Regions from separate parts of the Mus musculus genome. Here regions 1, 2 and 4 are each reported to be linked to region 3. Evidence: microRNA targets listed by miRTarBase, many of them from high-throughput screens and not tested one by one. Region 3 holds a microRNA gene; each other region holds the end of a gene's coding sequence.
The links. Region 3 holds the annotated microRNA mmu-miR-223-3p (UGUCAGUUUGUCAAAUACCCCA, at 1,225-1,246, opposite strand). A microRNA usually pairs through its seed, bases 2 to 8, with sites in the 3' UTR of a target mRNA and lowers its output. Matches are read on the target gene's strand: a 7mer-m8 pairs with bases 2 to 8, a 7mer-A1 pairs with bases 2 to 7 and ends in A, and an 8mer does both.

Region 1: miRTarBase lists Fam78b as a target of mmu-miR-223-3p. The part of its 3' UTR that is shown has no 7-base or 8-base seed match.
Region 2: miRTarBase lists Dnajc9 as a target of mmu-miR-223-3p. The part of its 3' UTR that is shown has no 7-base or 8-base seed match.
Region 4: miRTarBase lists Cyb5b as a target of mmu-miR-223-3p. The part of its 3' UTR that is shown has no 7-base or 8-base seed match.

Annotation. Positions count from the first base shown.
Region 1 is chr1:167,078,512-167,081,662 of GRCm38, forward strand. It overlaps Fam78b (family with sequence similarity 78, member B), which reads left to right. Exons shown (of 3, transcript NM_175461.4): 2 at 26-956. The coding sequence ends at 548. It overlaps Gm33610 (a long non-coding RNA gene), which reads right to left. Exons shown (of 5, transcript XR_865715.3): 5 at 941-1,021. Among named protein-coding and RNA genes, the nearest start is that of Gm33610, 25 kb to the right of the region's middle.
Region 2 is chr14:20,382,612-20,385,762 of GRCm38, forward strand. Dnajc9 (DnaJ heat shock protein family (Hsp40) member C9) reads right to left here. Exons shown (of 5, transcript NM_134081.5): 5 at 2,027-2,867. The coding sequence ends at 2,751. Fam149b (family with sequence similarity 149, member B) reads left to right here. Exons shown (of 14, transcript NM_001024512.2): 14 at 306-880. The coding sequence ends at 373. Among named protein-coding and RNA genes, the nearest start is that of Dnajc9, 4.7 kb to the right of the region's middle.
Region 3 is chrX:96,240,979-96,244,129 of GRCm38, reverse strand. It overlaps Mir223 (microRNA 223), which reads right to left and starts at 1,313; the gene lies at 1,204-1,313. F630028O10Rik (RIKEN cDNA F630028O10 gene) reads right to left here. Exons shown (of 3, transcript NR_030718.1): 3 at 488-3,092.
Region 4 is chr8:107,183,028-107,186,178 of GRCm38, forward strand. It overlaps Cyb5b (cytochrome b5 type B), which reads left to right. Exons shown (of 5, transcript NM_025558.5): 5 at 551-3,151. The coding sequence ends at 641. Among named protein-coding and RNA genes, the nearest start is that of 4930517G24Rik, 21 kb to the right of the region's middle.

The sequences.
Region 1 (3,151 bases), not on the chromosome of region 3:
TCGTGTATCCCTTCTGCTTTTCCAGGTCAAGCTGGGAACTGCCTGACTTGAGGGAAGGGAGAGTAAAAGCCATCAGTGACTCAGACGGGGTGAGCTACCCATGGTACGGGAACACGACAGAGACTGTGACCCTGGTTGGCCCCACCAACAAGATCTCCAGGTTCTCCGTCAGCATGAATGATAACTTCTACCCCAGCGTGACATGGGCAGTGCCAGTGAGTGACAGCAATGTGCCACTGCTCACAAGGATCAAGAGGGACCAAAGTTTTACCACATGGCTGGTGGCCATGAACACCACCACCAAGGAAAAGATCATACTGCAGACCATCAAATGGAGGATGAGAGTGGACATTGAAGTGGACCCTCTTCAGCTGTTGGGGCAGCGGGCCCGGCTAGTGGGCAGGACTCAGCAGGAGCAGCCCCGGATCCTGAGCCGGATGGAGCCCATCCCCCCTAACGCACTAGTGAAGCCCAATGCCAACGATGCCCAGGTCCTCATGTGGAGGCCCAAGCGGGGACCACCTCTGGTTGTGATACCTCCTAAGTAAAAGCAGACTGCCCAACTGTGTGTGGAACACATGCCACTGAGACCCGCAGTGGGGTGACCAGGGGTGGCAGGAGCCAAACTGAGTTTCTGAGCCAAAGCAGACCCTCTTGGTGTGCCAGCCTTTGCAGCTACTTGTGATGAGTACAGCTGTTCCTTGGGCGGTAGAACCATAACCCTTAGGAAAAGCCCCTTCCTCTTAGGAATAAAGAAACCACTGATTTGATAGACTTGCTCTGATTACCGTGCAAGTAGCCATATTTTGGAGCTGACCAGGACGATTCTTTTATTTGAACTATTGACCATTTCTTTCCTGTGAGACGCAGGGGATGGAAATGAAACTAAACGGTGCCTGTGGCAGATGCTGCTTCCCAACCAATTAGAAGCGAGAGTGAAAACATCCACACCAGGTGTTCGTAAGACAGTCTCCTTGTGTGACTGGAGGGTGCTGGGGAATTGGGTGAAAGATCCTGGGTTCTGGGGAGAGAGGAAAAGAAGGTGTTACTACAGTTTAATGACAAGTGTTAGCTGGTGGTCAGATTGTCAACACACCCCCTGGAATGAGAGGGACACTTAGAAAACAAAACTCTGTTGTGCCCTTTGAGGGAAAAGCTGTTTTGGAACTGTCCGAGGTGCTGACGTCAGCAGCCCCCAGTGGAGACTGGCTGCTCGCATCCACTCACTCGCCTCTTTCCAAAGAGATTGCTCATTCTAAGTGTTGCTAGTTACGGTATTGGATATACAGTTCCTGTTTTCTGTAGTGATTATGGTGTTGGGTCTCTCTTGAGTTTTTAGTCACTCAATCTGTGACTTTGTTTACAGCCACTGATTCTTATCGCCAGCCCTCAATTCACAAAGATGTATAAGCCTCGTGTTCATGTAGGGTGTAGGGAATGTCTCAACCAATGAGAACAACATTCTCAATATTGAGTTTCTGAATTGTTCAGACACAGGAAGGGCACACATCTGTGCACACACCCGGGTGCTCACACACCAGGATTTAGAAAGAATAACAACTAGTCTTGCCGATAGTGCCTGAATATTCATTCATGGCCTTTAAGCACAAATAGTACACACACTGTATGCCCACATAGGTTAACTTCAGCTATACTTACAAAAATTCAACGTCAACTGCTTGTCCAGTTGTAGATAAGAAATGTTCAGACTTCTTTAGTGAACGTCTGAGCCTTAAGCAATCTTGGGTTGCTGAGATCCAGCCAATAAAGATGAGAAGCAATTTCCCTTTAGTCCAGCAGTGCAAAACTTTTTAAAGAGTTTCCAGTGTTTACAGTGGTAAGATTTCCAACCCTTTCCACCTAAGTCACCATGCCCCGCCCCACCCTCACTGAAGAGCTTCCCCTGTTATTCTCAGCGGTGCCGATTGTGAGGTGCATCCTTTCTTGTTGAGAAACAACTCGTGTAAACTGACTACAGAAGTCTCACAATGGTGTATACTGAGTAAGTAGATTTTTTTTAAGCCTAATTTCAGAGGTGAGAGATTTCCAAGTTCAGGGCCATTATACAAATCCTGTCATTGACTCCAAATCTTCCAGAGTTTGGGGACAGAGAATGCAAACCTTTCTCATTACTCTTGTTTCCCATGCACTGTAGTCTAATTTCCTTCATGCTCTGATCCCAAAGGATGCTACTCAGAGCAATATAGCACTAACTTCACATTCCAACCATTGGCTTCTTTCACCTAGATTAGTTACTGATGGCAAGTTAGTTACAGCAACACATTAATGGTGCATTGGTAACATCGGTGAGTGGCAAAGACTCTGGAAATAAGTCAGCTCCTAACTTGGCTTTCCCATGCTTCCCTACTTTTTAATGGCAGCTGACCTCAGAGACCTACAGATTGAAGAGTAAAGTTGCTTATTTTCCATGCTAACATCAGAAGCAGCAGTCTCTCCCTCACATTGAATCAGATGCCATTTTTATGAGATTTGGGTCAATGGATGCTGATCTTGGAATCTAAGCCATGTAGCCCCACTTTAAGAAAATCTGATTTTTTTTTACATCTAAAATTGTAAGAACAGATGAATAAGTTTATATTAAAAATTCTATGGAAGGTTTCAGTCTTTAAATGTTCCTAGCACGTTAAGATATGACTCACACACTTATATTTACATATAATATAGCTTTTCAAAGCCTTGTCTATAGTTAAAAGCAAGGTGCAGTATGCTTACCTAGACTTATTCTTCCTTAAAAAGAATCAATTCAGATTTTTAAAATAAATTACCCCAAGGCAGTTTCCTGGAGAATGAGGTAATAAAAATTGAGGAAAAAAATATATGAGAAGGGACTCCTAAAAGCTAAACTATGCAAATGTGCTTTACCGTTGTTGTGTGTCTCTTCTGCAAACCCTACCGTTGGGTCTCTCACTTCTGAAATCAACCTGCCAGAACACTCAATTGCCCAATAGCCAATTATGTTAAAATTATCATTGTTTTACAAGGAGATGGCCCCTTTTTTCACTATCTGTGGATCATTGACTTTTAGTTTAGTCAGGACATTGTCAAGCAAAAAGGATCTCTTGTAGGACAGAATTAACCTTGAGGTCTCTGGTGGGAAGATTAACCTGTATTCCCTTGAGAATGCATGATC
Region 2 (3,151 bases), not on the chromosome of region 3:
AGACCAGGCTGGCCTTGAAATAGCAAGAGATCTTCCTGCCTCTGCCTCCCCAGTGCTGAGACTAAAAGTATGTGACACCACACTCAGCTTTCTTTTACTTCTTAGACTCTAGCAGTTTTCTAAATAGGGTGAACTGTGTAAACATGGTTTTTAATGTCTTGGTGAATACACACTTCTCAGTACTTAGAGACCATATCCAACTTTAACATCCAACTACTACTTTATGTAAAAGTCCACGGCATGTGATGTTTTATTATCAAATATAGACTATTTACTGTTATTCTGTGCAATTCTGTATCCGACAGGTCCTCAGTCACATGGGTCTACAAAACCTCAGAGCAGAGGTGGACCCATCTCTAGAACCAGGCAATGACCACAGGGCAAGTGAGAACCTGCAAGGTTGCAGCAGACTTGGGAGCACATGGAGGCTTTTCATGCCCCAGCATTCAGGCACCGGATGATGCACAGCTCCTGCAAACAGCAGCTTGGTCCGTCAAGTTATCTTGGTACAAGTGTCCGAGAAATACTACAGAGTATCTGCCAAAGACTGCACTGGTAACTAACTGTTCTGCATGCAGTTACTGTCTTCTTTCAGCTTTAGTTAACCTACTCCATGGGGCAGTAAAGATTGTACCCAAAGACTTGACAATGGAAAACCACCCCAAATCACTGCTCATGTTGTCTGTAACTAATCACCAGTTCAATTCTTGTACAATTCAGTGAGATTACATACACACAAATGATTCAGATCACTGGGTTCAGAATATTTCTGTTTATATTGATTCCTGGAGAACTGCACTCAGTTTTAACATATTTTTAGGAGAAAGTGCTGCCAACAATCTGATATATTCATCAAATAAATGTCATTCCTAAACTTTAAGTTCTTTATTACATTTTAGATGTATTTTTGTGTGTATGAATGGCGGGGAGGAGTATAGTCAGTGCTGAACTAAGATCATCGAACTTGGCGGGGTGGGAATGGGATCGGTGCCTTTATCTGATGAACAACCTTGCTAGCCAAGCCTTTTCGTTAAAAAGCAGAATGAATTAAGACCTAACTAAAGGTGTCAACACTGGTGTAAACTAATGTTTCTTCCCTAGATCAGCCTCACATCAGGTTTGTGTGCTCATGTTTGCAATTGTGTGTGCGTGCATGTATAGGCCAGAGATCACTGGGTGCCCTTCCTAATTGTTTCTCATGTTTTGAGATAGGATCTCTCACTGAACTTGGAGATCCTCATTTGTGCGCAAAGACAGGTTTGTTTTGCTTTGTCAGTGGTATGAACTCGGTCTTCATACTTGTAAGCACTTCACTGAGCCAGTTTTCCATTCAAAGAGCAGTGGAACTGGAGGGCTTCCTCTAGTAGCACCAACAGCTCCTCAAGCGCTGGGAACGCAGCAGTGGTGTTAACTGTGGCTTGAGTCTGTCTTATTAAAATGCCACTATTGCCTTAATTATCACACCACTTTGACATTACTGATTTTCAAAGTGGCTAAATTCAAATGGTTGTCCACTGAAGGTGACTTAAACCATTCCAAGTTCTTATGCCATGAAATAGATGTTTCAAATAACCCACACTGAGTTATATATTAAATACTTCTATTGTACTTGTGATCACAAACTAAATGTGTGATGTGTCCACCTTAAATTATAATGCTCAATGGAAAGAGGCTTATTACTTGCACGATACAAATGAAGACTTGAACAGTCTTAACAAATATACCACATACTATAGTGAACAGTTATCAACTCAAGATGTAATGAGCATCTTTCTCAGAAGTCTGTACAATGAATACACTGTTATCAGATCTACATTCGTGGCCTTTCTGAGCAGCTATGACTCAGAGTACCCTCAGGTCATTAGCCTAGTTCCTTACCCTTTTGTGTATGTGTCCCCTTAAAGCTAGTTAGTATTCATCTTCAAAAAACCTGATTATAGTTTACATAGCAAATCGCAGGCTAGCTAGAGCTACATAGAGAGACTCATCTGAAGCCACACAAAACAGTTCAAAACACATAAAAATCCTGCTGTACTTAATAAATGCAATTTAATGAATTTGGCTCTCACTCTTGTAGATAAAAAGTTCAAAAGAGGCCAGTGAAATGCCTAAGCCTGTGACCTGCAAAGACAGGATGTGTGCCAAAGCCAGCCTGTCTGTTACAATGCTGACTAGGTTACTTAAGTCCTTTAAATAAAACACTTTATCTTCATAGACCAATGGAGTCATTTAAATAATCCACCAGACCTTTGTCATTTCTTCTTTATTTAGCATATACAGTCTTATGAAAAGTTTGCAATAATATGAACACTGACGTCTCCTACTGCAAGGACAGAAGACAAAACCTAACAGTAGACCAAGAAAAGAAGATCCGTGTAGGATTAAGACCCAAAAGCACGGTAGCATTTATTTAGAAGTCAGCGGTTCAGCAAGTGTTCTGAGGATGTTCTCCATAGGTGGAGTGTTTCTCGTCAGTGCATGCACAGCAGCAAGAGAAACTAATATTCTAAATAGGGGCCCACAAAAGCAAATGTCAGACCCACCCTCCCAACTATCACCACTACACATCCTTCACATGAAACCCTCACACAGTGTTAGGCGAATTCTAGAAACTACTAAGATCAGGTCGATGAACCCTGCTCGGCTTAGGCGGGACAGACAACTCCTCTCAAAGGTTACATTAATGGCTGTCATCATTTTGTCTACACTGTACCACTGACACATAAGGACTCAGGAAGAGAAAAACTCCATCATTTCTTTTCCTTCTTGAGTGCTGTTCTTTTCCCTCCTTTGGAAGGTTTGCAGTATTTTGCTTCCATTTGAGCCAGAAAACTGTCCATTTCCTTTTGCCGATCCTTTTGTCTGCTCTGTTTGAGAAGTTAAAATATAGCTTTCAATATGCAACACTGAGACAAAGCATTTCATCATTAGGAGGGGTTGGAGTAAAGCACCCCAGTGACTAACAATGGCTACGGGCTTCCTCTGTGGTGGTGACAGCTGTACAGCTTGGAGCGGGGGTGGCAATTCTCTGACTTGTACATTCTCAAACCCCAAAAAGATGCTATAAATTATGTGTAAGTGTACCTTAAAGGAAAAACAAAGCAAAAACAAAAAAATCCTGAAATACATTCCAAACAGTGTACAAATAACT
Region 3 (3,151 bases):
TTTAGGTCACTGGTTAGTGGGTGAAAAGTTAAAGAATGAAAGTAGGTATCTCCAGAACCAAGGGAGAGTATGGAATTTCTCCAGAACCAAGGGAGAGTATGGAATTTCTCTAAAGAAGCTTGCCAAAATATATGTTATGAAATGTTAGACTCTGGAGAGAGGGATTGGAGATGCTTCATTTTATAGTTCTATATTAGAAGTTCACCCCAGTGCAATGATAGAATATTAAAGGCTCAGAAAATTCTGTTTAAAAAGACACGTGTAAACCAATAATTCAAAAAATTTTTCCCTCTGAGTCTATTCTTTCTTCTTGCCCTCCTGCCCCAGACCTAAATCTTATTTCTCAGAGGAAAAAAAAATCCATTTTGGTTACCATCTTGTATACACTATAGCATTAGAATACCCACAGTTTGATTTATTTTTTTCGCAAAACCCTGGTTGGTATTTGACCTATATAGCAAAAGGTTATTGACTAGTAAAACATCAATTAATTGGTAAATATTTATTAATAATTAAAATGTTGGACAATGGTATGAGAGACAGCAATCAACTGAATATAATAAGCTCTAGATTCTTACAATATAATAGGGAATTCAAGAACATACCCTGGAAAAATTCACTGACAACTTTAGAAGATGTGTTGGATGGTAGGACATATAATAGCACATACCAGTATGTGGTTAGCCAAGGAGTAAAGAAAAGTATAGGTTAACTTTCAATAGTGCCAAGAGGAATTGGAATTTGGTAGTGTCTGAAAGCCCAATGAAGATAAACAAGAAGGTTCTTTTAAGAATGATAAAAGCAAAGTGGAAAAGAGAAAATGTAGGTAGCTTAAGATGTGCTCCGAAGGCCAGACAGTGGATATTTATTTCCTACTTTCTCATAGAATTCATGATGCTTGTATGAAAATTCTGCTATTCTGGCTGCAAGAAGAGGAAAGTGAAAGAAGACATTAATAATAAATCAAATAATACTCTCATTCCCTGTATCCCTCATGTACCACTATGCAGTCCATGGCATTTTCACAATGTACACAGATGCATACCAGACTTGTAGACCCCAGAGCTGCATCGTTCCTACTCTGATGTTCTCTGAATAAATGTTATAGTTCCCTTAAAGACATAGAATAACACCAGAGAGCTTCATGTTTCATAAGCATTCATATGTAGGCAGCAGGCTATGTGCTCTGTCCTGGACCTGGAGCTGATAGGCATGAGCCACACTTGGGGTATTTGACAAACTGACACTCTACCACACAGAGTGTCCAACTCAGCTTGTCAAATACACGGAGCGTGACACTGCAGATGGCCAGATCAGGAACCTCCACTGGGCAGCAAGAACATGCTGGAAGATGTGCAACTGGAAAGAGAAAAAAATAGGGTGATTATATCTTACCCTAAGTGTGAGACAAATGGCAGACACTAACATGACTGACTAAGACACACCAAAAGAGGGAAGTGAACAAAACACGCTAATGCTCCAAACAAAAACGGGGATCCTGGGTGTTTGTCTGGAGATTCTGGTGGCCCAAGCCTCAATTAACTCTTCTATTCAGCTGAAACAGGAAAAAATTGTCATCATTCTGTCCTCGGGGACAATTTATGTGTTCCTTCCTCCTATCAACTTCTTGTATGCTCTGTTTACCCTGGTTATGTACCTAGATGTTGATTTTTAAAACTGGATTTGAATTCTACCTCTACCATTAACTAGCTGAACACCTTAAATAAATGAGTTTATGTCCCTGAAACCTACTTCTTCCATAGCCACAAAAATGCCCATGAAATCATGGCAAGAATATGTAATAATGCATATAAAGCCATTAATTTAGTGTTTGTTACCTAACAAATACTCAAAAATTGTGGCTATAGCCAGGTATGATAGTACATGTGTGCATACAAGCTTTCATAGACAGAGATAGGAGAACCTCAGATTTAAAGTCAATTTGGGCTATATAATACTACCCTTTCTCAAACAAAAAAGTAAACAATCAAGATCTAGAGATAAAACTCAGTAGCAGAACACTTACCTAACTTGTACAATACTCTGTATTTGATCCCCTGTACATAAATAAAAGTGACTAAAATGTGCTTTAAAATTAAACATATAAGATAGATACTAACAGGGGAAAAGATAGATAATTTATTTAACAGAATTGAAACAGTAATTTCTTGTGGCCTTAGCCGGCTTTGTCTAACTTGGTTGCCTTTTCTCATAAGCAGTAAAGAATTAATGATATTAAAATGCCCTTATAAGTCATCTAGTTTTACCCATTCAAGATTATAAATGAGAAAATGAAGTCTGATGTTTAGGGAAAGACTTCCAAAAGGTCATAAAACAAGTTGTTTACAGTTTGGGAATTATATCATCCATCAGCTCATTGTGTCCCTTGGCTGTCCACCCCACCACTTTTTCTTGTCTGCTTTTTATATTCCCTTGCAAAAGGGAGAGCAACAGCAACAAAGAGCAAAACAGGCAGTGGATTTTGCAGGGAAGTATTAAGATGTTTGAACTCATAGCTACCAGGGCAGCTGCCAGAAGAGCCAAGCCATCTCAATTTATTTGATATTTTGTTTAGCATCATGATCCTGTTATTCAAAATGCTTGATAGTATCAAATTTTGTCCTACCCAGGTTTAAAGTTTTCTTGGGCATCAATTGTCTTCTCTAGAAATAGAGACAGAAATCTTACATCTCAAGGTCTTGAAAAATGTTGGATGAGACTTCTAGAGCTTTTTAGAAGGGAGCTTAAAGAGACCTTATTTCCAACTCTGGAGCTAGTAAAAGCCAAGGAAAGTGATTAAAAGAGAAAGGAGTAATGGGTTATTGGTTTTGGTTTTCTTGACAGCATCTCTGCTTATCATCTGCTGTAAGGAGAGCTAGACACTTTAGAGATATCCATAGCCTCTCAATTGCCCTATCCGACCTCACATAACCCAAGAACACTGGAAAAGAGCCATGAAAGGGGCTAAAGAGTTCTAGTGCACTGACTTAATAGATTATTATAAATACTGTTTTCCAGGATTGATGGAGAAGTCAGTCCTTAAGCTGGGTAAGGGACTATTTCATTTTCATTCTTGATGTTCCAGTTCACACCTATTCAGAGGAATACATATAAGAGAAGCAAGTTTAGTTGATTAAAGTTAGTCAGACCC
Region 4 (3,151 bases), not on the chromosome of region 3:
TAAGATAGATAGATAGAAAGTCCTCTACCACTAAGCTACATCCTTTTTTTTTTTTGAATTTTTTTTTTTTTTTGAGAAGTGTCAACTGTGTGGCCTTGAACTCTCAATAGATTTACGTGCTTTTGCCCCCCAGAGTACTGGGATTAAAAGCACACAACCATGTCTTGCATATCAGATTCTTTTTATTTTTAGCATCTTTTTTTAAAGGGGCTCTTTAGGGCCCTGCAGGTTAGCTTAACAAGAAGACCCCTGCCAAGTCTGCTGGTTTAAGTTCTCATGTGCTAGAAAGAGAGAACCAACTCCTACACGTTGTCCTCTGACCTCCACAAATACATCATGCCTGGGCACTTGTTTGCACATACACAAATAAATGTAGACTTGGCTTTGTTTTTCCTTTCAAATACTCTATGGTAAAAGCAATTAAATTAAGAGAAAAATCAAGATAAATCAAGACCCCTGTCTCATGTATATTAAACATAAGCGCTGAAAAACATTCAATTATTTGCTTAGAATATTCTTAACATACTGCTTTTTCTTCCTTCTTTTCCAGTTCCTGGGCGTATTGGTTTGTCCCCATCGTGGGCGCTATTCTTATAGGTTTCTTGTATCGTCACTTCTGGGCTGACAGCAAATCCTCCTGAGGAGACCTCGTTGAAGTGCGGAGCACGTGCTCCTGCGATGAGAGGAGGAGACTTGTGTGGAGGCTGCAGGGTGTTCCCTCCTTGGAACCTGCCAGTTGTTTTCTTTCCCCTTGGAGCCAAGATGGTTGACCAGATATCTATCCTCCTTCAGTGTACGACCAGAGTCTTTCATCCGCCAGAGCCTGACGCCCAAAGCACCTGCTCACTCTGTGTCCTTGCCAGGGTTTCTCTCATTGGTTCCCACTCCTTCCTTTCATTTCAAAAGTTGATGCCAATGACTTAGAGTTCCTATGTTGTAGTGACATGGCCTTTGGGGACAGTACATGATTTCTCATAATTTGAATTCATAGTAGATATAGTTAAGGGAACAGCAGTCAGGTTATGAATCTTTTCCCATTTTTCTTTTTAAGTAAATTTATTTTTTTAATTCTGATTTAATTTTGTCATTCATCATAAGGGATTTAATTCATGAAGTTGTGTGTATCTTATTTCAAACACAGCTGCCAGATGATCTTATTTATGATTGTTAGAAGTAAGGGGCCAGCAAGATGGCTCAGTGGATAAAAGCAATTGCCGCGAAGCCTGATGACCTGTGTCTGAGTCACTGCACTCACAGGATAGAAAGAACCGATTCCCAAAAGTTGTCCTCTGACTTCCACATGTGTGCTATGGTCTTTGCACACACACGCACACACACACACCCCAGATGTTATTTTTAAAAATGAAGTACAGCAACAGTGGCTATCTACCCCTGCCCCCTCCAGACAGTGTAGCTGATGGCTCCTCCTGTCTCTAAGTCCCGCCTCTTTTCCCAAAATACTTCACAAAGTGTGCATCCCTTTGATTTCTTAGGAATCTAAGAGCTGAAGAAGGACTGACTTCAGAGTAATCTCTTTTACAAAGAGAACCAAACACTACTTACAGGAGAGCAGTTTAAAAAGGGACCAACATGCGCTCTCTGGTCTGACACTGGTTTCTAACCATCTTCCACCCTGGCTGTCTTTACCAGTGAAAGATGTGTGTGTGTGCTTACCTTCTATACACTTCTCTCCGGTCCGTGGGGCTTCACAAAGGCCTTTCTGCTGTTTTTCTTTACCGATTAGCAAATTTCTGATTCCTTGTCTTAAAGTACAAGACTCAAGTTTGAACTTATGTTTATCTCAGTAAAATAACTTAGATGTAAATGTCATTGTCCGGCATGCCCCTTCAGATTGGGAGACCATGCCAAGAGACTTCGGTTTTCATCTGGGTTTTACCTCCATGGCGCCAACTTTTGGTTTTGTCCTACTTTCTATTGAGGGTAATGATAAATCTGGAAGCTTTCTTTCCTCTTGGATATGAATTTCACTGGAAAGTAGGCAGTCATTTAAAATTCCTTCTCTCGTTGGTCCAGGCATTTTCCTGGCACCTCTGACTGTATTCTCTCTCCCTGTGGCAGTGCCTGACAGTACCCAGCTGTTTCTTAGTTTCTATGATCTTTCTTCACATCTTTGTTCATTACCAGTCAGCTTCTGGGCTGGTGTCACATCCAGCAGGAAACCATGGGATTCCAGCAGGACCAGAGATGTTGGGAAGTGTCCTCCTGCCTCCCTTCCAGCTTGCCAGGGGCTTGACAGGACAGGAAACTGCACAGTAAACCAGTCTGCCCGTGTAAACTATTTTTTAAAAAGTTCAGTCCAGGACTCGTATCCTGTGATTTAGCAGTTGAATGAATTCAGAATTCATCAAAATAACATTAACCTTTTCCTTACACACTTGAATATGATATTTTAGAGTGATTTCTAGGTGACTTTTATGTCAGAGATGAAGACTTAATCAACCATTCGTCTTTAGAAACGTCTGTAATATTGTGTCATAGATTGACAGCGTAATTAGTCTGTAACAAAAGCGGCATGCGGCGCGCATCTCCAGGTAAAGGCAGGGAAGGTTGTGTGCAGGGAGCCCGGGACCTGCATGCTGGGATAGCGAAGTCACATGGAGTATGCTGGGTAGAAGGGAAGAACAAAGGAACATTGAGTGCAGGACAGGAGCGTCCCAGCTAACTCCAAACTTGATGGGACACCTAGTGAAAAACATCTGGCTTGTAGGAAATGTTAAAGAACTGCATTTTCGGCTGGGCATGGTGGTGCACACCATTAATCCCGATGTAGGAGAGACAGAGGCTGCAGAATCTCTGAGTTGAGGCCAGTCTGGTCCACATAGTAAGTTCCAGGACAGTCAGGCTACATAGAGAGACCATGTCACAACCACTCCACCAAATAAAAGAACTGTATTCTTAAGTAGAATCGGTGTTTTGATATTTCTACAGTAAACATCAATACCAAAAGCCGTTTTTTCTATTTCACATTTGTGTCTTTCCCAGCTTCTTATAGCTGAGCTTTTTCTCCCGAGAGCCAGAAGGAAAAGATTTTCATACTTTTGTCTTTGCGATCCATGAAATCCGTCAATACCCAGGGCTTCTTTTGAACTACTGATAATGTAATGTCATTTTATATTATATAAAAAGGATG